Arabidopsis thaliana: one gene and its partner. The protein of the gene in region 1 interacts with the protein of each later gene in a pairwise test. Each region holds a gene or a part of one and is shown in the gene's direction. Other genes may lie near its edges.

The links.
Region 2: the proteins of AT3G21330 (region 1) and ATO interact in binary tests that used the Arabidopsis thaliana proteins (3 or more experiments, as listed by UniProt).

The regions. Positions count from the first base shown.
Region 1 is NC_003074.8:7,505,603-7,515,581, forward strand, and holds AT3G21330 (basic helix-loop-helix (bHLH) DNA-binding superfamily protein), read left to right. Parts: upstream 1-1,637; 5' UTR 1,638-1,968; intron 1,969-2,101; 5' UTR 2,102-2,117; coding exon 2,118-3,239; 3' UTR 3,240-3,584; downstream 3,585-9,979. Other genes in the region: AT3G21340 (Leucine-rich repeat protein kinase family protein), read right to left, coding at 6,246-6,654, 6,801-6,990, 7,076-7,141, 7,217-7,343, 7,444-7,694, 7,793-7,977, 8,083-8,154, 8,250-8,321 and 4 more.
Region 2 is NC_003076.8:1,861,825-1,875,993, reverse strand, and holds ATO (splicing factor-like protein), read left to right. Parts: upstream 1-9,560; 5' UTR 9,561-9,695; coding exon 9,696-9,869; intron 9,870-10,298; coding exon 10,299-10,412; intron 10,413-10,881; coding exon 10,882-10,986; intron 10,987-11,095; coding exon 11,096-11,238; intron 11,239-11,341; coding exon 11,342-11,438; intron 11,439-11,864; coding exon 11,865-12,014; intron 12,015-12,093; coding exon 12,094-12,165; intron 12,166-12,448; coding exon 12,449-12,607; intron 12,608-12,704; coding exon 12,705-12,911; intron 12,912-12,987; coding exon 12,988-13,134; intron 13,135-13,224; coding exon 13,225-13,371; 3' UTR 13,372-13,669; downstream 13,670-14,169. Other genes in the region: AT5G06190 (uncharacterized protein), read left to right, coding at 103-139; AT5G06180 (fission ELM1-like protein (DUF1022)), read right to left, coding at 642-743, 877-985, 1,060-1,153, 1,222-1,285, 1,359-1,471, 1,563-1,689, 1,782-1,931, 2,105-2,201 and 3 more; SUC9 (sucrose-proton symporter 9), read right to left, coding at 4,275-4,444, 4,801-4,864, 4,962-6,203. UniProt on the Arabidopsis thaliana protein: Splicing factor homolog to SF3a60 that may be involved in pre-spliceosome formation. Is necessary for gametic cell fate determination.

The DNA.
Region 1 (9,979 bases):
ATAAATACTACTACAAATTGTTCTTACATAGTAAAGATATAAGTTCATACAAATATACAATAAAACTATATTGGCGTTATTGGTTTAGGTTCTCGAATGTTGGTTATTTCAAGCCTAAGGAGGAACGACTTGGGAAATAAGAAGCGACTAATAATGTACTTCTCTACTGGTATATGGAAATTACAAAGTTTTCGAAAACTACTCCAAAAAGTGTTCCACATCGATTATATATGATATCATGATTATATATAATCAAATAAATCCACAAAAAGAGTGTTTGGTATTTTTATATAACACGTTCTAGCCAAAAGAAATGAAGATAAACTATACAAGAAAGTGTTGCTAGATAGATCGAGATGAGGATATTGATCATTATTGACTGATGATGATAGCGAAAAGGTAAATTAAACAAACACATAGAAAAGAATAAGAAAATGGTATAGATAATAGAATCATGAATTACTTTTACAGCTTGATCATTTTTAAAATAAAATATACAATCAACATTAATCTGTTATTCACCAAAAAATAAAAGATCCAAAACCTAAAACTTTCTTTCGATCTCTCCCTTAAAGTTTTCAGTTCGCACGACGCTAAAAGGATTGTCAGTCCTTTTTCTCTGCTCAAGCACTCGTAGATTTTTAATTACATATCCCTTTTCAGTATTCATCAAGTGCATAATCATATAGTCTATGATTTTTATCAAGTATTATATCTATTTTCTAGGGTTTCAAAAAAAGATGCTCTTCGATTGCAGAAACTATTATGCACACCAACCTCATTTAAATAAATATATAATTCAATCGTCTAGATTATTTTCTATATTTTAATACAAATCATTCGGTTAGCTTTAGGTTAATGAATCAGTGATCTCACTTTTCTCTTTGCGCGTGTGACATTATTTTTGACCATGAAAAATTAAATAATTTTGGATTAAGAAATTATTAAATAATCCGGTTTAGGAGATGTTTTAAGTTTAGATTCGGGAGTGTTGTAAACTCTAACGTTTAGTTTCGGTGACAACTTTTAAATTCAATTTTGATAGTCGTGTATCTATTATCCAACAAAATCTCACTTAGAGATATCAGATATATCGCAAAATTAATCGAGATCAACTTCAATAGTTTCATCTTCTACGAAAGTAAAGTTGTCGCCGCCGGCGTCTTCAATTTAACGTGTCGATAACGTTCCATATTCGAGTTTGCATATGCATGTCACTGGAAATAATAGTTAAATCATCTAAATCGCATCCATTAATGATTTGATCATCATAAAATTTGGTAAAAAAATTACCTAACTCAAAAGTAAAATATAAAAATTAATCGTTTGAGTAGTTAATTAGTTTACCGGTATACTAGTTAAAAGTTTTTTTCCTTTGACGGCGCTCATATATATGTTTTAAAGTATATCAAAATAGGGATTTAATTCTTAAAGTTACACTAATCCTAATTCTTAAAGTTAACCATCCATACCAATTTACAGAAGTACAGAACTAGTGCTTGATACAGAGGAACAATTGATCTCATCGAAAGTTGGGACCTTTTTAAAAATAATACTATTATATATATATAATAAATATACAAATATATTTAATATTTATTCTATATATAAATATGTGCATAATAACAAATCTGAGTATGAATAGTAGGAGGGGTGTATAGGGCTTTCAAGTCTTTTCTTACAGAAACTATCTATAACTCTAGCAGAGAGCTCATTATAGAACAGAACAGAAACAGAGCTTTCTAAGTCTACAGCACAGAAATAAACCTCATTTACAGACTGTTTTACTTTCTTTCCTTTTTGAGCATTTCTTCTTTCTGTTTCTTTCCTCTGTTTTCTCTTTCTTTCCCTTTTTGGGTGTCATCTCTTTAAGACAGAAGAAACGTTTCTCAGAGTTTCCTGTGAACTCATCTGTTTGTTCTCTTCTTCCGGTTTCACTTTTTCATGTCCTGCCGTTATTACAACGAGGTTGGTTTAAAGATCAGCTTTTATCATTTTTCCCTGCATGTAACAAGAAATATTTAGGTTTCATGTCTGTTTACAAATATGCTCTGTTTCTAAGTATGCCTCTCACATTTGTCTTTGTTTTGGGTGTTTTTAGGATTGTGTTTGATCCGATGGAAGGATTGGAATCTGTGTACGCTCAAGCTATGTATGGAATGACACGAGAGAGCAAAATCATGGAGCATCAAGGATCAGATTTGATTTGGGGAGGAAATGAGCTAATGGCTCGAGAACTCTGTTCTTCTTCTTCTTATCACCACCAACTCATTAATCCGAATCTTAGCAGCTGTTTCATGTCTGATCTTGGAGTCTTAGGTGAGATTCAACAGCAGCAACATGTTGGCAACAGAGCTAGCTCGATAGATCCATCATCACTCGATTGTTTGTTATCTGCGACGTCGAATAGCAACAACACCTCGACGGAGGACGATGAAGGAATATCTGTGCTTTTCTCAGATTGTCAGACTCTTTGGAGCTTTGGTGGAGTCTCATCTGCAGAGTCTGAGAACAGAGAGATCACTACTGAGACGACAACAACGATAAAGCCTAAGCCTTTGAAGAGAAACAGAGGAGGAGATGGAGGAACTACTGAGACTACAACAACAACAACAAAACCTAAGTCTTTGAAGAGAAACAGAGGAGACGAGACAGGAAGTCACTTTAGTCTTGTTCATCCTCAAGATGATTCGGAGAAAGGAGGTTTCAAGCTTATATACGATGAGAATCAATCGAAATCAAAGAAACCAAGAACAGAGAAAGAACGAGGCGGTTCTTCGAACATTAGTTTCCAACATTCAACTTGTTTGTCTGACAATGTCGAGCCCGATGCTGAGGCGATTGCACAAATGAAGGAGATGATATACAGAGCGGCTGCATTTAGACCGGTGAATTTCGGGTTAGAGATTGTGGAGAAGCCTAAGAGGAAGAACGTCAAGATATCGACGGATCCTCAAACGGTTGCAGCGAGACAGAGAAGGGAGAGGATAAGTGAGAAGATTAGGGTTTTACAAACATTGGTTCCAGGTGGGACGAAGATGGATACTGCATCAATGCTTGATGAAGCTGCTAATTATCTCAAGTTCCTTAGAGCACAAGTAAAAGCTTTAGAAAACTTGAGACCCAAGCTTGACCAAACCAATCTCTCTTTCTCTTCTGCTCCTACATCGTTTCCATTATTCCACCCATCTTTTCTTCCATTGCAAAATCCTAATCAAATCCATCATCCAGAGTGTTGACAGATTATAAACTTTTGAGTTTCATCATCATCAACAGAATCATGGCGTCTTGATTGTTTTAGCAGTTCTCAAGAAAGGCAACTTCTGTGACAAGGGTGGTGTCGGGCAGTGTTGTTTACACTTTCCAGTCTTTGTTTTGCATTTCTTTTTATATAAAGTTTGTATTTTATATAGAATCTGTGGAATTCGAGGGTTGAAATATTGTGAAAAACAGAGCCGCAAGAGGTTAATTACAGTCTCTGCAATATTTTCAACCTTTTATTACTTTATTAGAGTAAAGATAGCGTAAGATAATTGCAATTATGAAGCGATGATTATCAACAAAAGTGTTTAGAAAGTGCCTCCATCTCTCTCTACTTAAAAAAGTTTAGCTTTACTTGAAGAACTCTTTTGGAGTACTAAAATATAAAATTAATATTCATCCTCTTTTTTTGGTACTCAATAAACTCTGTCTGTCTCTGTAAAATATGTATAAATTTCGTATATCTATAATGCAAGGTTATTTAATTTGTGTTACTTATCCATATAAAAAAACGATTTTAGTGGAAGAACTTATTATTGTCTTATAATTTTATTTTCACATAAGTGTTTTTTTGTCTGGCTCAAATACAAAACATAGTTTGGATGGAGTTTAGTAAGAGTTAAGAATGTTGAAGGCGTGCACCTTGAGAATATAACTTCACCTGACTCGTACACCCTAAAATGCTCACCACATGCTTCTCTATCTCACTCTCCATCTTTTTATTCTTCTTTTTTGTCTTTTGGTTTTTGTCTTATTTCGTCCCTAAATCTCCTTAATCACATTCTCTTTCGTTTAATAGTATTTTATGAAGTTCTTTTGATGGATGTGTTTTTTTGACTTGGGTACATTGACTATCAACTTTTTATTTATTCGCAATAACACTTACTTAATTGCTATTTTCAAAATAACATGCTATTTTGTTCTAAGCTTGGTTTACATTAAGAAAGTAACATGCTCTTGAGCTGGCTTGTTAATTATCCGCGTATTTCACCAAACCCAATTAAATGAATGTTCAAAACATAAAACATGTTATTTGAATATGAAAATGTGAACATTGGTACTCTATACAAGGAACTATATTTTTGTAATGTGTTTAATTCCGTATTTTAAAATGTTTGTGCCTATTGCGTCGCCAAAAGAACACACAAACATATAACAATTTTAATTTTGTTTTCCGCATGTAAGTATATAGGGCAGGAATGGTTTTTCTTGGAGCATGCCTATATTTCTGTTTTATTATTTGATTGTCTATGAAAATCTTTGTAGAACGTGAACTCCATAGAAGAGAAGAAAACGGTTTAATTAAACTAAACCAAGTTTCCATTTGGAAGAGTCTCATAAGGCCTATTGCAACCAGCTATTGGAAAGAATTAAAATCCATCTTGTAATATAATACCATAGTAGTCATTTTTTGTGTTCTTAAAATTAAATTAGTTATCAACCCAATGAAGCAATCGAAGATGCAACCGACTAGGTCTGGACGTTTGGTAGTTTCTTATGAAAAGAAAGGTAACAATGTCGACTAACAACATTTGAAGTCAAAATGATTAAGTAGATAAAATATAATTCCGTTATTTAATATCATAAAATCATATATTCAAGTTGACTCCAAATTACAAACAGAAAACTCTAAAAAGCAATTATGTAGTATGTAAAAGTTTAGTATATAATAATCAAAAGAAAAAGTCAGGATTCGATGGGTGTTGCAAGCTGGGGAGATAAGAGAGATTGATCATTCATGTTGACTTTTTTAATTGAACGGTTATGGCCTTTTGTTTGTTTCCATGTAACATTTTAGACAAAGATGTCCCTTCGAAGCAACCTATTTTTAGAAAGTTTTGACATAACCTAAATCACTCTTTATATCACAATAAATCCGACGTTTTTGGTCCTACTAATCATAAGAGAAATCCTCCAAAGTTCTAATATGGTCCGCAAATCAAACCAACAACCTTATTAGCACACACATGTCCATTTATTAAACACATATAATCAAGAAAAAGTATCTTCTCAAATCAGAGGATAATACATTTTGGTGACGAAAGCTGGATATTTTTGATTTCATCAACTTGGCAACTTCTTCACTTATATTGGAAAAAACAACATCCAGTTGTCCACAATCATCAAATGATATGGTATACCTCTCTAGTCTCTATTATCATCCTCATTTGACTTTATTATTCATCAACTTGTTCTTCCTTCAGAAAATGAAATCCATTTCAACTTTTTTTTTTACTTTAAAAAAAATATATTTTTTCTTTCTCTTTAATTATTCCACATACAACAATACACTGATAATCTTTACGTTAAATTTATTATGCACTAAATTAGAATGCTACTAGATATCAACTTTGACTACATCGTAAATTTTGGTGGACAAATATGATATATAGTTAAAATAAACTAAAAATGGAAGTTGTTGTATAAAATGTACGTGTATAAATCATTTGTAATGTCTTATTTTGGAACTATCATATTACAAATAAATAACTGAGTCAGTTAGAAAAACCATACAGAGCAATAGGCCCAGGATGAGTCAAATATGATTTAACGTACAGAACAAGTCACTTTTATATCAAACAATGACGTGAACTGAGATAGAAGATGGTCGTAGCGAGCAATTGGCAGGTGCGCGCTTCTTCCCCTCGATCATATTTGAGTCATCCCGGGCCTATTGCTATATATCTAGAGCTTCGAAACTTTGATCACAAGAAACGTATAAACATGTCTCATCATTTGCTTTGTTTATTCCACTAAGATTACATCCATTTCTACTACGTTTTCATTCTGCAAAATAAATTAAAGAGAGTTATGATTGGACTTTATCCTCTTTTTTTAACCGTAGATCGAGTCTATGCTGCTAATCTTGATTCCAATAAATCACATTCATTAATGACATAAATTCATTACAAAACTTTTAAAATTTTCCTTTGAAAATAACAAAAATCCACTCAAGAAAACAAAGATAAAATGACTCTTGCAGTCTAACGAGCATCAGGGGTAGCTCCAATATCAAAGTTCATGCTGACTTCTATTGAACTCTCTGAGTTCATGTTTTGACTCGTTCCTCCTCTTGCGTTTTCATATGACAAACATTCGTTTAATTCGATAACAACTTGAGACATTGTTGGTCTTCTAGCTGAAGAAGGATTTAGACATGACATTGCTAGTTCAACTGCTCTCCAGACAGAACCAGAGTCATAATCACCATAAAGTTTTGGATCCATAATGTTTTGAATGTCTCCTTTTGTAAGCATTAACCCCACCCATTCTGCTATATGTGGTTTTTCACGACTTTGATTGATCACAAGTTGGTTTGTGATGATCTCTAATAGTACAATTCCAAAGCTATAAACATCACTTTTCTCGTTCAACCAATTTGTTCGGTAATATCTGCAAAATCAATATTTATCCTATTAAAAATAAAAAATATATATGATATCCTATCAAGTGATGATACTCATGATAGATGAAAACTAGCAATTACCCTTAAAATAAAATTTAAAAGAAAATCATTGCCCAACAATTATGAAACTTACTCTGGATCAAGGTATCCAGGAGTTCCAGCAACAACTGTTGACACATGAGTTTCTCCTTCAATTGGAAAAGATCTCGAAAGCCCAAAATCAGCTAGCTTAGCATGGAGGTGTTCATTCAACAATATATTTGTGGTTTTAACATCCCTATGAACCATTGGTGGTTTGCATCCATTATGCAAGTATTCCAAACCTATGCAACAAATTTCATTTTCATCAAGGGTTAAGCAAATGAATAGAGGATACAAGCAAAAATTATATTAAAACTCATATCAAACCTTGGGCAGACTCGACAACTATTTTTAGTCTAGTTTCCCAATTTAGAATAGATCCACCTCGCTTTCCTACATTTGAATCAACATATAAATATGTGAAAACACCACAACAAATATGTATTTGTAGCAACTATAAATACTTACCTGACATATGTTCTCTCAAGTCTCCGTTAGCCATGTACTCGTAGATAAGAGCCAAGTTTTCTCCTTCATCACAATATCCAACGAGGCCAACCAAATTTTTGTGGTGAACTCTGAGAAGAAGTTCCACCTAGAGGAGTGGAAGAGCAATACATCAAAATTTGACATGTTACTCTAATAAAACGATAGTGTTTCTACAAACGTTTCTTAATAACCTTGCTAAAACTTACCTCTGCTTTGAATTCTTTATATCCTTGAGAAGATGAGTGTGAAAGCATTTTAACGGCTACTTGTTCAGTATTATTTACAGTTCCATGATAAACCATTCCAAATCCTCCTTTACCAAGAACTCTTTCAAAGTTATTTGTCATTGTTACAACCTCCGAATATGTAAATCTTCTGTTCTTAGTCATTATTGCCGACTCTGAAGATCTGATTGTTCTAACTTCTGATACTTGAGTATATGAAGATGGACCTAAATCTAATGTTACAATGCAACAGTATAATGAGACTTTTTATACATAGTGAACATATGTATTGCAGTATTCAAGGCAATTTAAAGGTTCTTTTTGTGTATACCTTGACTGTTTGATGTCTTTTTCTTTTTGAAAATAAAAAAGAACGCCAATGCAGATCCAAGAACAACCACAAACGCAACTGATGCAACAATCGGTATTACAACATTCATTTTCTTGGCACCACCATTGCCAGCTTTGTTTACACATAATCCATCCGGACAAATCAGATTGGCGTTTCCTTCAAGACTATGAGTTACCAATGTTGAGGAAAAAAAGAAATTTACCAGTCATTTAGGAGACTTGAGCACAAATTTTATATAGTCATGAAAATATTATATGAGAAAAGCTTACATTAGCTTTAGTCCTTTCTTCTGTAAAAGGATTTGAGGAATAGAGCCATTAAAATTGTTCCCACTTAAATTTCTGTTAAGATAGACACAATGTTAGAAACATAGGCAATCTTGTAGTGCGAAGAGGCTAATAGATTATAAAAAATTGTCTTGTTTAAAACGACTCACATTACTAAGAGTGATTTTATGTCAGCAAGAAATTCGGGTATTCCTCCCGTCAAATTGTTATTTGACAAGTCTCTACATAAGCATTTGTAAGTACAAAAATATGTTATAAACAAGATACAATTAAGGTGAACAAATAGTTTTCATTATGCTCAGTTTTGAAATACGAAATACTTACAGTTCTTGTAGGTGTGTCAGATTCTGAATGCCTTGCGCGATGATCCCCGTTAAATGACTTGACGATAAGTTTCTAAAGACATATTTATGCATGCACACATTTCATTTACAGATGATAAAATCATGTGACATAACTAATACAATAATTTAAGATTGATCTTACAAGGAAGTGACAATAGGCGGCGTGGAGTTATCTAGATTATTGCAGTTTAAACCCTCCCACAAAAACTGTTTAGGAACGCATGGATCTCCTTGCCAGCTGATTTTACTTAATCCATAAGTGCTTTGGATACTCTTGATAGCAGCAACTAGAATAAAGTTATTGTTGCATCAAAAAACAACCCATGAAATTATATTTATAGAGGAAATTGATTGAAACATATAGACTTACCATCATCTGGATTTGTTTCCATCTGTGGAAAATCGATCACGGTGAAAACCTCAAGAGCGTTCATGAGAGGAGGAAGAGTAGACTTAGGTGTTTTCGTCAACTCCAAGAGGCATGTCCCATCTTCACATTGTTGTGGTGTCGAATAGAAAATGGTTTCGGTGGCTAACGTTTTAGGGCTGTAGCGTTCATAAGCAAGTTTTCCATTCAACGTCACTTTGAATTCTCGGGTATCGAGGGACCGTAGAGTTTGAATCTCGGCAAAATGCATGTACACATAAAATTGGGTTGTGGAAGATGGCAATAACCATGAGAAGTTCCATGTTCCAAAAGTACTTATAGGCGTTGAGGCTGACGCCATCACAACTTCTGGTGGTGCATAACCATTAGAACTGTTTATATTCAGATTGGTTGTTAACTCTGTCCACTCTTTTGCATCAAAGAATGGATACCATTTACGATCATTGACATCATCAGGGTACCTATCAAAAATATTTTTGTCATGTATTAAAGACTAACATTTTACTTAAAAACAAACTTACTGAAACAAATCAAAATCCATATTAATAAACCAAGATGCTAGAAAAATGTCTATACCAAATGAACCCAATCCGAGTTTTGTGCAACCAAAAACCTAATAAGTAATTATAATCTTTAAACTTCAATATATACACTAAATTTATTAAAGGTTTAAAACAAATAATCTTCGTTAAAAAGTTTATCCTAAACGGATCAAACAGAACCAGAAACCAAATTTTGTTCATGATTAAGTGAAAGGGCGTGATTCATACCGTATGTTTTGGCCTGAACCGCTGAAATAATATCGGAAGAAATACTTCAGAGAGCCACTCTGAGTATTGTAAGTATTGTTTTTAAGTGGTCGTAGCTCTAACGTATTAATCATAGGTGAGCTTGTTCCTGTCTTAACAAGACAGACCTGGAGAGACTTAGATATGGTCTTGTGGATAATCTCCTGGATAGTACCATTGGTCCGTCCATTCATATCAACCGTTACCCATAGATTCGGACCAAGGTAAAGATCGAAACTCGGGGGATTGTTAAGACCATCGTAGTTACCATACACAAATACAGCTTTGATCAGATAGTTTGTGTCTTGCGTGACATTCAAGGTATAGCAGTTTCGGAATCCGTCCGGGAAGTATCTAAG
Region 2 (14,169 bases), on another chromosome or scaffold:
ACCAAAAGTACAATAAACATACAAAATTCAATCCAGAAGCGTGTCATACCTTTGTGCCTTTGTGTCTTTTCTTGGATTAAGATACTGCTTTTGTTACTCAAGAGTGTACTCCGGAGAGTCAATGTCACCACCTCCCTGAGTGAACGTGAACCATATGATGTTTTTTTAGTCTTTCACACATGTTTAATCAATCCAAACGCATTCTGCAATTCTTTGTTTCTCATAATGTAAGCACTCTTTGAGACTCATGCCAACACTTCGTAACAAGTGCTTGAGATTGGTCTATGCTATGGTCAGTCTAGCAAACTCAAGTGTCAGTACCTAGAATATCAATCCTAACTGCATCAAAGGAAGACTCTTTCTTATTTTATCTAGGTCAGAGCACGCAGCTTTTATTCGTTCCTTTACAGATGATGAGCTTGATACATGAGACTACAAACCAAATGGAAAAAACCAAAGAACTAACAAAAACCAATCGTTAATAGACTAATAGTTCAAACGATGAGCTAAGTATATGACCCTGAGTTCGACTAGAGCATTTAACTTCTATGGAGGATAATTCCCAGTACGAAAATAATAACTGTAGACTATATAGGGAAAAGAGAGTAGTACTCTGGAAAACTTGTGGAGGGAAAGAACGGTCATGCCTCGATTTCCCAGCCACGCTTGGCCAGATCTTGAATCACACGCCTCGCAGCTTCTACATTATCGTTAAGAGGAGAGTAACTCCACTTCTCACACATCTTGAAATATTAAATCCATGTAGAAGCTAGTGTCAGGATTTATCGGAACATAAACAAAAAAGAGAAGGGTGTCTCGGAGTATAGCTATCATGTAAACAAAAACAAAAGACTTGAATAGAGTTATCAGAATTACATCTTCTTTGCCGGTCAAAGGTCGAACAGCTCCTCTACCATGGAGAGTCTTCTGGAAGTCAGAAAATTTCCATGTACACCGTTCAGCACCCACAACATAAACGGGTTTCCTGTGTAGAGAATGAGATTTTGATATCATTTTAAGAGTGTGAAAAGGAAAAGATTGTCGTTTTCTTAAACATACCCGGTACTACATGCCTCGCTCAACATACTTATAGAGTCAGCAGTTATGATAAAAGTATTGGCTAAAGCTAGATGTCCCAAATGCGGATTAGGGTCTGAGAAATGGATGAAGAGAAAACATCAAACTTTGCCACAGACAAGTTGAGAGTAAAAAGCCGTTTACCTTTTCCATCCCAAATGTAGACCTTAGAGTTAGAGCTCAATTCTCCAGTTATGACTTCTACAACCTGTAGAAAGATCGAGTATATGATGACCATCCGCTCCCCATGATCGTGACATTCTAAAGAGACTTTTACAAACCTTCTTTGGTGTTCTTCTTGAGAAAGATATTCTTAGGCTTCCACAGCTCCAGAGGATACTCTGAAGCATACCACACAACTGTTTAGCAAGATCAACACCATACAAACAGTTCCCTATAACAAATTAACAAAAAAAAAACGTAACCGCAGTTACAAATACAGATCGATAGAGTATATAAAATACAAAGAGGCACAATGTGTTTACTTGTAGGTCCTCCAATATTAACTACAACCAAAGGCTTTGGCAGCGAAGCAAACTCGTTTTTCCATTCCGATGTAGCATTTCTTAGAGTAGAAGCGTCGGCGTAATGAAGAGCTCCAGTAGTGAGAAACTGGATTTCAGAATTCAAGCTTGTTACTAGCAACAGAATGACAATGCCTTGCCATCAAATCCATTTTAATGAACATTGCAAAAGACACATACCACATTTCTACCTGGATGTTCACGTGGAGTTACCCATGGTCTGAGAAAGAAAGGAATTTGCCTCTTCCCTTCAGGTGTTAAAGAAAAATAATCGTGTTGAGGTGTGATCACTAGATCAAATCTCTCAAGATGCGACCTTGGATGTTGCACCTGGAAAAACAGTAAACAAGAAGAATCAAGTTATAACAAGGAGAAAACAAAGAGTATGAGGCCAAGATTTGGCAGTTGCTGATATCAGTCACATGGAAAAATCAGCTAAAACCTTCATATAAAACAAAAAAAGCTATAGAATTTGTTGTTTTTTTCAAGGGAAAAGACTTAACCTGAACAACAAAAACATTTTCCATAGCCAGTCGTCTTATTGAGCTTGCGACGGAAATAGTATCACTACCAGACGCCACGACTAACAACGGGCCATTCCTGTGATAAGGCAGACGACAAGTAACTCAAATTCTATGTAAAGAGATCTCAAAATCAAGCAGAGGAAAATTTGAACAATACTTTTCAAACGTTTTACGAGCCATAGCAGCAATCTGCTTCGCATCATCTACTTCAAACACATTCGTGATTCCTACAGCCATTTCCAGGGAAACAAATTACTGCCAAAAATCTCATTTTTCAAACTGTGAATAAAAGTTGAAGGTTGTACCAGTAGCGTTAATGGATAATCCGGCACAGATAGTGCTGATAAAACGATGAATTCGTTTGTAGAGAGAGATAGGAAGCCATTGAAGGATTCCACCTCTTGGTTTAGCTACTCTCTGAACAGGAAAAAACAAACTCAGAAACATTGAAAATGAAGAAGCCAGAAGAGGAATAGTGTTTTAGACGGAGATTACATAATAGAGGTGGCGATCGAAGAGGCCTAAGGATCGAAGGAGACCGATGCATTGATTCTCCGCGCCGGCGCAGCCGTTTCCGATCAGAACTGCTCGTTTCACCGTGCGGAAAACACATCCTTGGAGATTCTCCGATAAACCAGTGACGGCCAGTTCCCGTGGCTGTGTTCGTCGCATTAGAGGTGAAACTTGAAAGGAAAAGAAAGTTCAGTGACGAGAGGGATTCCTGACGAGAGTGATGACGACTGACCAGCTAGACCAAACCGAAGTTGAAATCAGAATAAATCGAAAATCAATTTGAACCGGGAATCGGAACGAATTAAACCTTCTTCAGCTATTTCAAGCGTTCTAATTTTTTTACGATTATTAGCAAGTTGATTTCTAAAGAGTTTTAAAATTTAAGATTCTAACTCTTGTGGATTTCTATATTTTTACTAAATTAAATTATTGTATTATTTGTGTTGATAATTTTGTAATTCTTTCAAAAATTTGTGTTATTGGTTTGTTGATTTTCTAACTCTATTTCATTTTTTTTGGCTATTAAAAGTTTGAGTATTTTCCGTTGCAATTTTGTCAAATTCTAGAGCTACTGGAATATAAGTTCTTTATATTTTCAGTCATTAACCATAATTTTCTGTTGCAATTCTCTCTCAATTTTATTTTTTCAAAATGTTAGTGAAATCTTTCTTCGCTAGGCTACGACTGATAAATTAGTTCATCGAGAAAGAGAATACTTGATTTTTTGCTTAGTATCAGTAGATCCACATATATATTGCTTCAATTTTGCTACATGATGATGTTCATTTCGAATTGATAAGTTTTGAGTACATTTCGTACCAATTGAAACTTACGACTTCTCAATTGTAATTGTAGTATTCAGTTAAGAAATTTTAAAGAATTAAGAGGATCAAAAGTAGATTTTAAGGAATTGAATTAATTCTAACCAAATCTTTGCATGAATTCCTGGAATTTTTTATTCACAATCTTGAGTGGGATTTTTTCTTTATTAATCCTAATATTGAATAACACTAGCATTTAATAAAATTTGTTAATCAAGAATTTAAATAATACTAGAATTAATAGAATCTAAAATACAAAAATTAAATTCTTAAAATTGAACACACACTCATCCCCCTCTCCTTCTAAAGTTAGTGTAGGCCTTCATTTCTTTCTTCGCTAAACCGCGGCCGGTAAGCTTTTTGCTACCACACTCATCCATGTGTCTACTCGAGTCTTCCCACCTGCCCCGTCGTCTTTGTTTAGACTAAATTTATTTTTTTGGTCTTTGATTTCATTTTATTTTATTTTATACTTTTTTAAAGTGTATTATGTTTTTTTGAATATTTCATTGTTTCTACAAAATAAAATGTATCATGAATGAATTGTCATATAAAGGTAAAAATGTTAGATTTACAATTCCTATGCATAATATTAATTTTTTTTTTTGTTATTTACCTAGAAGTTTAAAATACTTTAATTTACGCAGATTGATGTTGACATAGATATAGAAGTTAAACAAAAACAAGAAGAACTTTTTAAAATTAAAACTTTAATTAAATAATGTAAATAAATATGCCACATGCTACATTAATATTAAACATGTGGATACATAACAATAAAAAAGAAGCACATAACAATAAAAAAAAAAAAAAAATTAAGGTAAAACGGTAAGTGCCACAACACTGCTGATTAGAGCTGCTATAGCTCCAACCACAAATCCAGGTAAGTTTCCACCTCCAAATAACGCATCAATTGGACCAACTCCAAACGATACAATCATTTGTGGTATCACTATTGCCATGTTTAAAACTCCTAGAGAGAGTCCTGAAAAAATGACAAAAAATGTTATCACTATCCTTATTAATCTGATAAACGCTTTAATAATAATCTTAAACAGAACGATTATGTATCTTATTGATACATTTATGACAAATTTTATATGGTGAATGAAAACCAACTAATAATTGAAGATGTAAACAGATTGTATAAAAATATCAATTAACCAATAAATTAGTACATAACATACATCACCCTATGTGAAAATATATACTCGATCGTTTTTCTTATAATTGGAAACTGATCTCTCCATTACCGTTTTTTGTGTTCACACATTTTAATTAGCATTACTATGAGAATGTAGGTTCAAATTAGAAACAAAAGGAGAGGTTAAAATTAAATACCTTGACCGGCACCGGAACTGCTTGAAATAATGGAAGCTAATGCAAATGGAATACTAAATGTAATCTATAAAATATAGCAAAAAATGGATTAATATTGTTAAACAAAATAATAATTCATGGATAATAGTAACAAAAATTGGTAAAAGACATGGTGGACTTACAGCAAGAGGAATTCCAAGAATAGCAAAGAGACTCAATGCTCCATCTCTGATGGCATTGGTAGGAAGGGCCATCCGACCAGCGATCTTCCGGTGCTCCTCAGCCTTTTTAGTAACCAAAACTGTCATTGCCAAACACACCGCGAGGATTATGTTCACAGCTCCCCAAAGCCTTTTAGCTCCAATTTTCTTACTAATCACTCCAATAACAAGGGACATGACTCCAAGAACGATAGAGTTAAGCATCAACCCCAACGAACCAACTTGGATTCCGTGGTTGTATAGTTTCTTCATTTTGTCATCTCCTGCTGAGTCTCCACCATACACTTCACGACCCATCCAATCGGTATCGTATAAAAGAAAAGGAAACCATGCGATCCAGTTCAAGGCCGTGACGGCTAGAAGCATCCACATTGGACGTTTCATCACCTTGAAAGCTCCAAAGATCTCGCCAAAGAAGGGAGTTTTCTCATTGTCGGAATCTGCATTAGGCGACCATTGCTTGTCTTCCACGTACCAAAGAGCTATGATTGTGAGGACTATGAGGAGAGTGATGGAAATAATGAAACAGCTCTTGAGATTTGCACAATAGATGTCGCATGCTTTAGTCACTGTGAAAGGGAAAATCTTGTGGAGGTTAGTGTACGATCCCGCAGCGTATCCCAAAACGTTTCCAACGGCCATGAAGAAAGAGAAAATCGCGTTGGCAGTTCGAGTTTTCTTAGCATCTCCGGCTGCTAAATCACCAAGAAAAGCACGGCAAGGTCCTTGAAGAGTGTTGTTAGCCACGTCAAGGATCCAGAAACCGACAACGAAGAAACCAACGGCTCTTATCTTGACAGCTTCGTCGAGTTTATCTCCCATGGTGTGGCCGAAGTCAGCCGCAAATCCAATTAGTATAACAGCAAGGGCAACAAGCAAGGCACCAGTGGCGATGAAAGGTCGACGACGACCGAATCTTGACTTGCATCGGTCGCTGAAGTAACCGACGGTTGGCTGGACGAGCAGACCGGAGATAGGACCACATAGCCATATGAAAGATGACCATTTGTGTGGGACTCCGAGAAGCTGAACGTATGGGGTTAGGAGAGAAAGCTGAAGAGCCCAACCAAACTGTATACCGGCTGCGATAGAAGCCACTGATATCATCTTTCTTAGAGGTGACGGCTCATCAGGAACCACAACCGACGAAGAAGACTGTCTATCAACAGGCGCCGCATCTTCTTTTGCTTGGATGTCACTCATAGTTTCTTCACGTTATCTTAAGAGGTTGTGTTTTGGTGATGGTGAATCGTGATAGAGGAGATGAAAAGAAACGGACTCGTCTCTTAAAGACGAGGTGTGGAAGATGAATGAGATTTATGTTTCTATAAACGTTTTGATTCTGTGTTTCATTAGTTAAGAAAATAAATCATTTATACTAAAGGATATAACGCAAATATCCTTATAGGAATTTGGTAATAATGACAAGACTAACTGAAATCAGTTTATTATCTTATCTTTACATATTCTGAGATCGTGACAGATTTCTTGTTTCTGTAATATGTTTTTGTTTACAATTTCTCGTCAAATTTGTTTTGTTCGTTTTCCTTTTTTAAATTTCTGTTTGCATCAAACCGCATTACTGTTACATATTATTTTGACTTCCTCCACAAGAAAAAGAAGGTGAAACAAATGATATCTCAAAACCCAATTTGGGTACGTTAAGTATCCAAATTGATTATGTCGTCAGTTACGAGCCTAACATAAAATGGTTAAGTATCCAAAATTCCAAAGTGATTATGTCGTAAGATATGGGCCTAAAGTCCATAAACGTGAAAAAGCTTCTTCGATTAAGGTAAAACAAGCAAGTTTTCACGTTATCTTCACTAGATATATGTCTATCAATATTGATGATAATATTAAAGTCAAATTTCACAAACCTCGAACGAAGCTGCAATGTCAAGCGAAGAAATTTGCCAGCAGCAGAGAAAACGAGAACATCTTCTTTCCAGCATGATTGCAAGCTCTCCAAAAGACTAACGCTCTGTCTGAGCATCAAGTTGCGGGAAATCGGGTTTATATGAGTCAGAAACCTGAATGAAAACAAGAGAAGCTGAGAAGCCACTACTCTAATGGCAAGTATAGCCATCTATGATAGTTCTCGAGTACCTCAGTGAAAAGTACACTCCCACATTCCATTACTTCATGAATTCAGTACATATCGCTTGAGAGTTACATCAGACCTTGACGGACAATAACTTCTTTCAGGATAGATTTTGCTAAGAAGTTGTCTGTTTTAGCAACAAGATACAAAGAAAAGAGTACAATGAGTGAAATGTAAAACGACATCATAGAAGGAAACAATGTCCAATTATGATTAATGAACAAGGTTGGTAATACATCAAAATATGAAGTCTGAGATGGATCTCGGTGCTGAAGACGGTAACTTTCACGACCTGACATTTTCGAATCGCTGTTTCCCCTCCCCTGTGCAGACCACCGGCGATGGAGGAGTTTGTCATATAGTGTCTCTGTATTTAGACTGCGTGCCGAATTAAAGTTATAGAGCAGAACTCCGTGTCGGCATGGCTCAATCCAATTCGGTTCGGTTCGGTTCGGTTTAAGTAAGAAGAAAAAAACTTGATGAATAAGGCGATTCTGGTCTTTTTGTTTTCTGTCTTGTTTTGCCTATAAGGCTTAAAATAACATGGGCTTAAAGCCCAATAGTCAATAAACGAGGATAAGCTTCTTCGACTAGGGTAAAACAAGTCTTCACTATATATACAATGCATCTTCGATTATAACCCCCAATTCTTAGATATTAGGGCTTATGTTCTAAATCGTGTTATTCGTATTTATCGTTTTTTTTTTAAATCGTTGCGCAGCCCTTAAGATCGCCTTCCACAAATGCTTAATGGAAGCGTGTCGAGTCATTGCTGCGCTAAATCGAAATTTATTAAGGGTTTTTGATTAGGGTTCTCCTAAGAACTAACCCAGTTTTTACCTTCCTGATTTATTATAGGTCGAGTTTTTTTATATCGGCATTAGATCTGGAATTAAGGTCCTCTCTCGCTGACTCTTCAGATATAAGTGTTTATCTCTTTTATCTGCTAGAGATCTTTGCGTTTGAGGATTTTCAGATTTTAATTTCGTTCATTTAGTATCTCGTTCTATATAATCGGGTAGGATACATTGTTTTTATTGGTTTTGCAATGAAACGGCGAGAATGATGAACCAATTAGATGTGCGAATGAGGGGTAATTTCCTCATTATGAGCTTAAAACTGTTTGAGGCATATTTAACATCTCTGACTTCGCCGCTTTTCAAAAGTTTTGTTTGAGTTTTTATTGTTTGTTTTGGTTTGATGGAATAGTGGAAAATGAGGAACATATAACTCAAACGTGAATCAAACCATGTACCAGTTTTTGCTTATTGATATTCTGATTCCACCATTTGAAATGAATAACCATATTTGCTTTGTTTTCTTGATTTGGTTTGCTGTGTTTACGATGAACTCTCATTTGCTTCTCTGTATTTATTATCTTTTTATTAAGAAGATCAACTCATACGAAATGGTGATGTTTCAAAGTGAATTACTTCCAACCTTGATATCCTTAAGTTACAATTAGCGACTCATGAACTAATCGAAATATGGTTTGCCTTAGTTTGCCGTAAAGTAAGTGATATACTGATATGTAAACGATGTTGGCATGGACTATCTTTCAAAGACAACACCTGAAACAGAATTCTTGAGCTTGGACATGGAAGTGACTAATAATGGAAAATTGTTTATAGATAAAAAAAATAATACCAAATATGAATTGTTAACGACATTTCAATTTTGTATGTCCACTCGGAGATCTTCCTTTGGTTTTACAAACATAAATCAATATCAGAAGTCATAAGATTAGTCTATGGGATTGGCTATTATTTTGTTGTCAGGTGGCAATACTTACCCCAAAATGCCCATCGTTGGTTCAATATGAATATATGATCATCCTATATAGCTCTTTCCTGAGGAAAACAACCAAATATAGCTCTTTCCATTGATCTATTAAAGATGTCATCTCAACAAACCTCAATACTATTAGGAGATAGCTTGCAAATCTTATATCATGTGAGATATCATGAATTCAATTTGAAAAGAGTGAATAAATGGCTTGTTAACTCTTTAACTTTGACAATGATGACTTGATTTTGTGTTAGTTTGCTACCAATATCAAAGCCATTCATAGTGGATGGTTGTAAACTGCCCATTTTTTTTCTGTACAACCTTCTCTCCGTTAACATCTTTGCAAATGAACCCATTGAAGTATAGTACAATATCAAACAAACACATAATGTTTGAGTATTCCCATTAAAAGAGGATTGCAATCAGATAAAAAATATATAAATTACCAAATGGAATAGATCTTAAAAGAAAATAATTACCAAATGGTATTTTACCATATTATAGATTTTTTTATAATAAGTAAAATAATAATAAAATATAAAAGAAAAAAAAGAGTCTAAAAAGGCCCAAAACACTAACAGTCAAAAAAAGGCCTAAAACACAAACCGTCTAAAAAGGCCCAAAACATAGTTCGGCTTAAACGACCCAAACCACAACAAAAACCACCCGATTATCTTTTTCTCTCGGATTGGCGTTAAAAATTTTACTGGCGAGATTTCGGATTGAGGAAAAGAAAAGTGACTGGAATTTAGGGTTTAGACTCCGGCGAAGAAGGAGATTTCAAAGCTTCGAAGACAGAGAAAATGTCGTCGACTCTCCTCGAGCAAACTCGCTCCAATCACGAAGAGGTTGAAAGGTTGGAGCGATTGGTTGTGGAAGATCTACAGAAGGAGCCACCGTCCAGCAAGGACAGATTGGTCCAGGGACATCGTGTTCGTCACATGATTGAGTCTATTATGCTCACCACTGAGAAACTTGTACGCTTTCTCTCTTCTTCTCGTCAATTTTTAATCTTCTTTTCTATTTCCCGCATATGTTTTTATGTCTCTTCTCTTTTGAATACGTTAGATCAGAGCAGAGAAACTTGGGTTGCTGATTTTTTTTTAAATAACAGGTTCGTGTTGAGTGTTGCCTCTTTTTCTGTTAATTGCTTTAGCTTTTTAGGTTATCATTGTGGGGTTTAAGTTAGCTTTGAATCACTCTGGCTTGGGTGTTAAATTGAGAAGAAACTTCAGAGATTGGTGTTGAATATAGGTTATAGTTGGGGTCTTAAGTGTGTATGTAGGGATTCTAAGTTTTGAGCTAAGCATGCTTCAGTGTTATTTCACAAATTTGAGTTAATTTTTGTTGTTGATAATTAACTCAAACTTGGATTAATGCTAACCTTGATTCTTGTTTGTTGTAAGGTTGAAACCTATGAAGATAAGGATGGGGCGTGGGATGATGAGATTGCAGCGCTTGGTGGCCAGACTGCGACAGGGACAAATGTGTTTAGTGAATTTTACGATCGTTTGAAAGAGGTTTGTTCTTTATCCTTTGCACCTTCCTTGGTCTTTTTTCCCTAAAACTTGCCTATGGTTCTCTATACCAAGACTTGGCTTTACTTTAGTTTCTGTGGGTTGTATATTAGAGATTGAGCAGCTAACTTTACCGGACTATTAGTTAATCTAGACATTGTTATTTAGCTGTTGATCTTTTAAAAAAAAATAGTTTTATTGATTGCCTTGAACCACTGTGATGGAGAATCAAGAATTATGTACAAAATCTCAGTGAAAGTGTATTAGTTCTGTTCCATCAACAATTTGGTTAGCTGTATAAGGCTTGCTTTGCATAAGAGTATTAAGGCGGTGAAATTTTCATGAGGACACCCTGAATAAGATTCAAATTGCTAATTCGTTTTTTTTTTATTGTCTGAATTATTTGATTTTCTTGTACCACTGATGAAAGCATCAGAGCTGCAACTATTTAACTTCTTTTATAAACTTACAGATACGTGAATATCATAAAAGGCATCCTTCTGGACGTCTTGTTGATGCTAATGAAGACTACGAAGCACGCCTGAAGGAGGAACCAATTATTGCGTTCAGTGGAGAGGTAGGTTTCTGCTTGACTTTTTATTGTTGCTATTTGTTGACGCATTTTTTAACAGTTTGTAAGCCCCTTTTTTATTGTCAATACTTAAATCTTCTTGTCTGTTACGCAGGAAGGCAATGGTCGGTACTTGGACTTGCATGATATGTATAACCAGTACATCAACTCTAAATTTGGGGAAAGGGTTGAATATTCTGCTTACCTTGATGTTTTTTCTCAACCAGAGAAAATACCGCGTAAACTGAAGTTATCGAGGTAAACACTTCATTGGAATTTTCTTTTACTTAGAAAGCCTCCAATTATTTTTCTAGCTGCAGCTGAATGGCTTTCCTTTTTGTATTGCTATTTTTCATTTTAGGCAATACATGAAGTATATGGAAGCTCTACTTGAGTACCTGGTCTACTTCTTCCAGCGAACCGAGCCGTTGCAAGATCTTGACCGGATACTTTCTAAGGTTTAAGCTCCTCCCTTTCTTTATCATTTTATTGCGTTTACCTTGTTGCCTTATGAAATTTTATGGGCGTTTCGAACTATGCATTAGTACATAACTGGTATATTTATTCGTGCTTAAGAAGTTTCTACTAGTTTCCCAAGTATTAAGTGTAGAACTTTGGATTTGATTTCCTTAGTTCTAACAACTGGTTGCTTTGTGAGTCTTTCATCCCCCTGGAGATAATACATAATTTTGGAAAATAAATGGCCATAACTAGATGGTTGTATTCAATATTCATTGGTGCATAGTTTGCTCTAAGTGCAGAGATTGTATATCCTCGGAAGGTTTTGAACCATGTTATAGTTTGACATTCTGGTAGTTCTAGTTTGGCCAATGCTGTGCCTATTGTTTGATCTGTTGCGATTAATATGTTTGGTTCTTTTACAGGTTTGTTCTGATTTTGAAGAGCAATATGCAGATGGAATAGTAGAAGGCCTGGATAATGAACTTATTCCATCTCAGCATACTGTCATAGATCTTGATTACTACAGTACAGTCGAGGAACTGGTAGATGTAGGACCTGAAAAGCTAAAAGAGGTAATGACCATACTACTTCATGTTAATATCCTTTTTGAAGCATATTCCCCTAATCATATGTTCTTTGTATGCCATTCAGGCATTGGGGGCATTAGGACTGAAGGTTGGTGGTACTCCGCAGCAGCGTGCCGAGAGACTTTTCCTGACAAAGGTTTTTACACTTGCTATATAATCTCCTATTTCTTTAAGTTTCGTCTTATGAGAGGGTACTTTTATCAATTAGTAGCCGCGTTCTTGTTGTTCTTACTGGGTTTGGAAGGAACATTTAGCTGTTATGAAACCTAGTTTGGTAGTTCAGCTCAGCTCTTCTTCTAATATGAAACTAAGGCTTTTGTTGTCATAGTTCATGTTTTGTAGGGATTGAATTCTATTTGAAGCTTTTCTTATTACCTTGAGGTTATCTAATTCCCTTAATTAATTCAATTTTTGTACAGCATACGCCTTTGGAAAAGCTGGATAAGAAACATTTTGCCAGACCTCCACACAACGGAAAACAAAACGGAGATGCCAAATCAACACATGAGTCTGAAAATGCTAAAGAGATTGCACTAACAGAGGCCAAAGTGAAGAAACTCTGCAATTTACTTGATGAGGTTAGTTGATTGAAAGCTCATAGTGACATTTTTTTCCCCCTCCCAGATATCTAGTTGTACTTTTTCTGTTAACTTTTCTTGTTGTCACCTTTTATAGACCATCGAAAGGACAAAACAAAACATTGTAAAGAAACAGTCGTTGACATATGAAGAAATGGAGGGAGAACGTGAAGGGGAGGAAGCTAATACCGAATTAGAAAGTGATGACGAGGACGGTTTGATTTACAATCCGCTGAAGCTACCAATAGGTTGGGATGGGAAGCCTATACCATACTGGCTCTACAAACTTCATGGCCTTGGCCAGGTATGTAGTTTATTTATGAGACCATTGTTGTATCAAAGGAACATAGATTCACATTAAATTTCTTGTTATTACGCAGGAGTTTAAATGCGAGATATGTGGGAACTATAGCTATTGGGGAAGAAGGGCTTTTGAGAGACATTTTAAAGAATGGCGACACCAACACGGAATGCGTTGCCTAGGAATCCCAAACACAAAGAACTTCAACGAAATCACTTCGATTGAGGTAATAATATAATATGATCAAAGACTTTGTACAGCTTAAAGTAGTAAATAGTTTGGTAATTTGATCTTGTTGTTGTTTGGTTTGTTTCAGGAAGCCAAAGAATTGTGGAAGAGGATACAGGAGAGGCAAGGAGTGAACAAATGGAGGCCAGAACTTGAAGAAGAATATGAAGATCGTGAAGGTAACATTTACAACAAGAAGACTTACTCTGATCTTCAACGCCAAGGTCTCATCTGATTGATCACATCCTCTTGATGAAATCTTCTCTCCTTACTATATCCCTTTAAACCATATTCTACCTTTCGCCTTTGTAAAATCAAACCATTCGTCATCTTTTTGTGAGGTTTCGTCTCATTAAAACAGTATTTAGTTTATGTTTTTGAATTGACTATCACAATCGAGGATATAAAATTTGTTTTTGTATGGACAATGCTAGTAAGGAATAGTTGAGGACTTTACTTCAATAACAAGAAACAGATATGAGTTAATATAGGATACTACATGTAAGAATCAATCACTAAAGTTTTCAGATGATAGTGTACTCACAAATTTTGAACTAATTTTTTGATCTTTGATATTCTTACAAAATTGGAATGTTTTAATTTCCTTAATTATCCAATTCCTAACAAATCATTGGTTCCTTTTTTGATAAAACTTAAAATTTGAGTCAAACTTTATAAAAATTATCAAAATAAACAGATACAACCTCAATACCTCATACGACTGTCAAATTTTTTAAAGTAAGCTATCACATAGTTTACCTTTATTTTTTTTTATTATATTTATTTACGATATTTTTTTTTTTTGAAAAATACACAGATATTTGATTTTGGTCAGATATATGTCCATATACGAAGACTTTCAAATTTTATTTGTTTTCAAAAAACCTAAACATACAATCTCATTTTGCTATTTTGGAAAGAATAATGAAATATTCCTTTCTTAATCATATTCCAAAATTTTAATTAAGAAATAAAAGTTGGGATGGGCTTTACCTTTTTTATTTACAGTCCAACGGCCTCATTCGATGACTAG